Cricetulus griseus: one gene and its partner. The protein of the gene in region 1 binds, or shares a complex with, the protein of each later gene. Links are inferred from orthologs where the notes say so. Each region holds a gene or a part of one and is shown on either strand. Other genes may lie near its edges.

Region 1 (3,586 bases):
GGACGTAATCACATAAATTCAGTTCCCCAGAGAAATGGAAACACTTATAATAGTCTCAGACTATATGCCTACAACAGTATTGAAGCAAAAGGCCCATTAAGCTCACCTCATCTAAACCACAAGAATGTTTTAACATTCCCCAGACTAAAACAGGGAAAAAAGGATCCTCAACTATAAGATTTTTCAGAGTTTAATGAGAAACTTAAAAAAATAATAATACAAATAGGAAGTCCACCTTTTTTAATGTACAAAAAAATGTATGAGTAGAACAAACAATTAATGAACACTGTCACATGTTTACACCACTATCCAGTTCATATTAATTTTACTCTTCAAACAGGAAGGAGGTGGCAATTTAGGGAACAAGAGAAAACCAAAAATTCTCTACAATTCTTCTATGTGTGTAAGCTGTGCTCACAGAGACGGCTTCGTTACTTCTGTGCAGGAATTCAGTTGTATATAAAATTGAACCTGAGTTTAAAAAACAGAAAACTATTATTAAAAACATTATTAGTTTTACAGCTCCCACCTTAAACAACGAAGGAATTACCGGGGTGTTTCTCCCCCTTGGACATGTTTAGCATTTCTATACTAAGACAATTGGCCTTCATTGGCCATGCTTATATACTACTTACCACTGGAACATTAACAGTGTAAATTTGGTTAATTATGAACTACAAAAGTTCCTTCAAGACATAAAACATTGTTACACTTCCTTTGCTCTGTGCATACATATGCTCATGTATGTCACCTGATATAGCAAGAGGCCAAAGCAGAGGAGCAAAAACTGAAGGAAGTAGTGACAAAGTAAAAAGGCCAGTACTACAATCACCAAGCCAGTTCTACAATCCACAGAAACTAACACCATGACTGTTAAACTAGCATGTATTAAGCACTTCCAGGTACTATGTTCTAAGCATTTTATATGTGTTATCTGAGTTGGTCCCCACAGTCCTATGAAGGAACTACCGTCCTCATTTGCATATGAAGTATCTATCGAACAAGTGTAAGAGCTTGTCCAAAGTTGTACTACCAGCAAGTATTGAAAGGGGGTAGAAGAGATGGGTCCACAGTTAAGAGCAAAGGCTGGCTGCTCCAAAGGTCCTGGGTTCAAGTCCCAGCCCCCACCTGGAAGCTCACAACTCTCTGTAACTCCAGCTCCAGGGGATTTGACAGCTTCACACAGATCTACATACAGGCAAAACTCCAATGGGCACAAAATAAAAAACAAATCATAAAAAAAGTGGGATTCAAATCCAAATACTAACTGCATAATCCACAAAATTTTACTGAAAGTTCAAGAATGAAAAGTGTGTTCATGCACACACACACACACACACACACACACACACACACCTATTTGCCTCAAAATTCAGACTCCATATAAAACTATAAGACTGTATCCCATTTTACCAATTCAGGCTTAAGTACAGTAAGTTCCAAAAACTGAAAGAGAATAAACTATATTAAAAGATTTGACTGAGACAGGGTTTCTCTGTGTAGCTTTGGAGCCTGCCCTGGCACTCACTCTGTAGACCACTATGACCTCAAACTCAAGAGATCCACCTGCCTCCCAAGTGCTGGATTAAAGACATGCGCCATCACCTCTCGGCTCCACATTTTTATGTAGACAACCACTTCATATTTTATATATTTACTGTTTTACCATCTCTTCTTTGAATACACCTCAAACTTACCTGTGGAAGATACCAGATCTAAGGAAAGAACCATACAAGAGCATCATTCCATGATTTCAGTCTTGGGGTACTTTTAGTGGTATTTTAATCTATCGATTACATACACATAAGAATTTACTCATGCTGGCATACACCTTTAATCCCAGAATTTGGAAGGTAGAGGCAGGCAGATCTCTTGAGTTTGAGGCTAGACTGGTTTATGATGCTAGTTCCAGAACAGCCAAGGCTATACAGAGAAACCTGTGTCTCAGGAAGGGGAGGAAAAAAACCACGGACTGTCTTTATTTTCCTTAAGCCCTAAAATTTGTGAACTATAACTTCTCAAGGGGCTCCAAATATTTTTTTTTGGGGGGGAGGGGGCTTTAGACAGGGTTTCTCTGTATTGCTTTGGAGGTTGTTCTGGAACTCGATCTGTAGACCAGGCTGGCCTCGAACTCACAGGATCCACCTGCCTCTGCCTCCCAAATATTTTTAACTAGACATTTTACATAACTCCATCAGAAGTGTTTAACCTCCCATACCTGCTCAGCAGCTGAGGAAGACTAGAAATGATGGGTCCATATCCGGGTGCATTGTCATACAATTCAAACAATGGCGCAGCTACCAGCTTGTAATTTTTCGGGACTGCAAACAAGGCTATAAAAACAACAACAAAAAAGTATTCCATTTCCTTAATTCCATTTGATATTTACTCCCACCTTGTGACTAGTCAACTTAACATTGAGAAAAGCTGTGATGTGTGTTCGCCCATGCAAGCACATGTGAAGGCCAGAGGTGGCCATCAGGGTGTCTTCTCAACCCCTTCCCACCTAATTTCCTTAGGTTCTCGGGGAACCTGGAGCTCACTGTTTTGGCTAGGCTTGCTGATCAGGGAAACCCCCAGATTCTACCTATCTATCTCTGCCTGGCAGTCTAGGCTTACAGAGGTGTACCACTGCGCTCCTCTTCTTACATGAGTGCTGAAGGGCCAAACTCAGGTTCTGAATCTTGCACAGTAAGCACTTTTCCTAAGCCACCTCCCCAGGCCTGAAAAAAACTTTTATGGAGAAAGGCAATTCTCATTCATCATTTTGGGTTATCTATGTCTTCTAGAGACTATAGAAATATATTTGAAACTTAACCTCTCAAGAGAGAAATGCCAATAAATATCTTAAAAAGCAAGATGAGAATTGCCTTGGGATTGTAATTTAATTTTTAATTCTCATCTTAAACTATTGCAAGAAACAGAGCCAGACATTGTGAAAATTCTAGCACTCCACAGGCTAAAGCAGGAGGATCAAGATTTGGAGACTTGCCTTCCAAGCATGAGGAACAGAGTTTAATCCCCCAAACCCATATGATGTGTGTGCTTATAACCCTGGTGCCAGTAAAGTGGAGGCAAGTGACCAGCCAGTTTAGCCTAATTGAGGAGCTCCAGGTCAATTACAGCATTTCCAAGGATATTCAGTCAGAGAGGAGGGAAAGGAGAAGGGTGGGCCAGCCGGCAGGCAAGCAGGCTGGCTGAAAAATGACACAGCAGTTAAGAGCAATCGCTGTTCTTCCAGAGGACTGGAGTTTAGTTCCCACTACTGCGCGCGCGCACGTGCGCAATAGAGAGAGAAAGATTGGCTGATTTGGAGCCAAGCCTGGGCTATATAGCAAGAACCTGCCACAAAAGCCCAGGATGGCAGTGAAAGCCTGTTATCTCAGCACTTGAGAGGGAAGGTGTTAGAATCAGGAGTTCAAGATTTTGGGGGGAGTGGGGTAGGGATGGGATGTTGGGGTGGAATAGTTACTTGTTAAAACATAACAGGTCTGAAGACTCTTTAAAAGACAATCTTGAGGTTTTTAATCTTACCACCATGTAAGAATCAATACTAACAAACAACTGAACTACAAAAAATTACTAA
Region 2 (3,586 bases), about 120 Mb from region 1:
TAAGCACCTTTCTACCTGCAAGACTCTCAAGGCTATACTATCATGTTCTGTTGTGGTCTACTTCAAGAAAGCAAAGCCGGCTCTCTAAGAATTATGTGAATAGAGAATGGCTCTGTCTCCTGCTTTTCCGATAGTTTTTCAATTTTATGACCAGAGTTCTATGGCAAAGAGAATTTTTCTAGAGTACAGCATAATAAAGAAGGTCGACTTGTAGTAGCCTTAAGAGTCTCTGAACTCTGGGGGATATAGGATTTCAGGGCAGGTAGAATCGAGCAGAACATCAGTGAGAATGCCTCAGCATCATTTTCTCATGGGTTGTTTGGAATGTATTTGAAAACAGGAAATATGTTTAAGGGTTAAATGTGTTCTAAGCACTTTGAGGATCCTTTGACATACAGGACTTAGGAATCATATTGCTTTGGAGGGTTGTCTTAAAAAGATACTTCTGATCTTTCCACTGAGACCAACAGAAAGGCACTAAATGATTTGCTGCTTCTCTCCGCTGTTTCACTTGTCATTCTTTCCACTCAGACCAACAGAAAGGCACCAAATGATTTGCTGCTTCTCTCAGCTGCTTCACTTGTCATCTTCAGTATGGTGACCAATGACTTGCTGAGGGATGAGGGTCCTGTTGTTATGTCCAGAACCTGCCTGGGCAGTAACATTAGCTCTGTTTTGCTTTGCAGGAATACCTCCACGGGCCCACTCCAGAGATTCTAGTGATTCTGCTGATGGACGGGCAACTCCCTCTGAGAACCTTGTACCCTCATCTGCTCGTGTGGATAAGCCCCCCAGCGTGTTGCCCTACTTTAACCGTCCTCCTTCAGCCCTTCCCCTGATGGGTCTGCCCCCACCCCCAATTCCACCCCCACCACCTCTCTCCTCAAGCTTTGGTGTCCCCCCTCCTCCTCCTGGTATCCACTACCAGCATCTCATGCCCCCTCCTCCTCGATTACCTCCTCATCTGGCTGTACCTCCCCCTGGGGCCATTCCACCAGCCCTTCACCTCAATCCAGCCTTCTTCCCCCCACCAAATGCTACAGTGGGGCCTCCACCAGATACTTATATGAAGGCCTCTACACCCTATAACCACCATGGCAGGTAACTATTTCCCTGCAGATTTGAGCCAGGATAGTAGCTAGTGTTTTTATTTACGTGTTGTTTTTTGGTTGGTTGGTTGGTTGGTTGGTTGGCCGGTTGGTTTGGGTTTTGTTTTTTTGTTTTTTGTTTTTGTTTTTATTTTTTGAGACAAGGTTTCTCTGTATTGTTTTGGAGCCTGTCCTAGAACTTGCTCTGTAGACCAGGCTGGCCTCGAACTCACAGATCCAGCTGCCTCTGCCTCCCAAGTTCTGGGATTAAAGGCGTGCACCACAACACATGGCTTTTGTGTTTATTTTTTGAGACAGGGTCTCACTATGTAGACTAGGTTGACCTCTAACTTAAATTAATAGACAGTATTTTGCCAGGCAGAGGCAGGCCAGTCTGGGTCTACAGAGTGAGTTCCAGGACAGCCAGAACTATACAGAGAAACCTGTCTCAAAAAAAAAAAAAAAAAAAAAAAAAAAAAAGCAGAGAGAGAGAGGGAGGGAAGAAGGGAGGGTGGAGGGGAGTATTTTAGACATTTGTTTTATATGAATTAGTACATATGAATTAGTACTGAATGCTGATGCTGTTTCCTCTATAATTTTGTGATGTTGAGTCCTGGGATATAGATTAGTATCTGTCAGAGGCATGTTTTGCATGCCTGTATGTGCAAGTGCACATGTGTGCTGCTGCATGTGTGTTTTTTTTTAAACATCTCTTTTTTTTTAAAGACTTATTTATTATGTATACAGTGTTCTGCCTGCATGTATGCCTGTAGGCCAGAAGAGGGCACCAGATCTCATTACAGATGGTTGTGAGCCACCATGTGGTTGCTGGGAATTGAACTCAGAACCCCTGGAAGAGCAGTCAGTGCTCTTAACCTCTGAGTCATCTCTCCAGCCCCTACATGTGTGCTCATATACACTCGAATGTGGAAGCCAAAGGACATTTGGTGTCATCTTCAATTATGTTGTTCACCTTGCTTAAGACAGTCTTTCATTGGTCTGGAGCTCACCAAGTAGATTAAATTGGCTAGCCAGTGAGCCCCAGAGATCCACCTGTCTCTACTTTCCCAGCACTGGGGTTATAAGCATCCTCCCCTATTCCTGGTATTTTTATATGGATTCTGGGCATTTGAACTCAGGTTTTCATGCTTGCCTGGCAAGCATTTACTGGCTAAGTTAATTCCCCCAGTTCCATCAGTTTTTTTATTTAGTATTTTGTTTTCACCTTCCCTACCTGACCCAAATCATATTTTTCATAACTCCGTTTAAGTAGCTTGATTAAACTTGGTGCCATAAATGGCTTTTGCAAGTGCTACAGTGATTATTACTTTTGAGTCAAACCAAAATTATGAACATAATATATGACATAAATCCTGACCTTGAAGAAAAAAATGAACATTTGAGACATATCCTAGAGAAGAATTGAAAAACAGTACTATAGAATATGGTGAAAAGTAATAAAGGATGTGGGTAGTCTGACCTGGTGTTACCTCTCTGCAGCCGAGATTCAGGCCCTCCGCCTTCTACAGTGAGTGAAGCTGAATTTGAAGAGATAATGAAGCGTAACAGAGCAATTTCCAGCAGTGCCATTTCCAAAGCAGTGTCTGGAGCCAGTGCAGGTAATTAACCCTTACTTACTGCCTTTGCTTAAATTTTCCCCTTTGTCATTTCCATTTGTAAAAGTTTGAAAAATTGGAATGCTGTTAAATGTCAGAAGATATGCACTTCAAACGAAGTATTTGACGTAGTTTCTTGGCTTTGGGGAAGGTCTAGTCATGTGTCTAGACCTGCTCTGTAGAAACCAACTCAGTAGCTACACTATGAGTAATAGACACTATTTCCTTTTTATATTTATTGTAGAATGTAATTGCTATCTCTGGGAGATCCTTATCTCAGAACTAATCTTTAGACCTTGTGTCTATTCGGTAACTCCAGGACCAAGTAGAATTGAAAAGCCCCAGGGTTTTAGACTTAGTGCCTCAGCTAAATAGTGCTATGGTAATGGACCTGTTAGACTAAAATCTGGGTGGAGCTAGTAGTCTGTGGGTAGCCTCTTCTAGGAAGACAAGTTTGTTACCATCCTAAGGCATATCACACCCTTGCAGCTAACTTGCCCTGCTCTCAGCATTAGCAGAAGAATCAGTAGCTACCATTCTGAAAGCCCTGGGCATAAAAGAGGAGGGTATAGAATGGGAAGTTTATGAATGGAACTCAGTGGCAGAGCAATGGCCTGGCATACTAGAATAGAAAGGTTGGGGGCTCTGATCCAAGTCATGCTCACTTTCTTCCTGGGGGTTTCCCACGTGGATCTAAATGTATGTGGACTGTCAGTACCCAAAGAAGTAAGTTAGCGCCGTTAATCTGTTTTCCTAATTTCTGATCTTTGGTTTCAGTTTGACTCCACAGAGTAGTTTAAAAACAGCAAGTATGTGTTCTTGTCAGTTTCTCCCCCACCAGAAAAACATACATTGATTTTTAAGTTAAGAAATAATGCACAA

The links.
Region 2: the proteins of Nudt21 (region 1) and Cpsf7 are in contact, whole or in part, in a crystal structure (PDB 3N9U), measured with the Homo sapiens proteins. The link is inferred for Cricetulus griseus from reciprocal best matches to the Homo sapiens genes NUDT21 and CPSF7. Residues at the interface, in NP_008937.1 of Homo sapiens: Arg68, Asn152, Glu154, Pro156, Tyr158, Tyr160, Pro162, Ala163, His164, Ile165, Thr166, Lys167; in NP_001129512.1 of Homo sapiens: Trp91, Trp92, Thr93, Thr94, Asp95, Gln96, Glu112, Lys114, Phe115, Glu117, Asn118, Arg119, Ala120, Asn121, Gly122, Gln123, Ser124.

What each region holds. Positions count from the first base shown.
Region 1 is NC_048596.1:170,214,372-170,217,957, forward strand, and holds the end of Nudt21 (cleavage and polyadenylation specificity factor subunit 5), read right to left. Parts: intron 2,334-3,586; coding exon 2,219-2,333; intron 472-2,218; coding exon 450-471; 3' UTR 224-449; downstream 1-223. UniProt on the Homo sapiens protein: Component of the cleavage factor Im (CFIm) complex that functions as an activator of the pre-mRNA 3'-end cleavage and polyadenylation processing required for the maturation of pre-mRNA into functional mRNAs.
Region 2 is NC_048596.1:49,926,736-49,930,321, reverse strand, and holds part of Cpsf7 (cleavage and polyadenylation specificity factor subunit 7), read left to right. Parts: intron 1-686; coding exon 687-1,101; intron 1,102-2,588; coding exon 2,589-2,707; intron 2,708-3,586.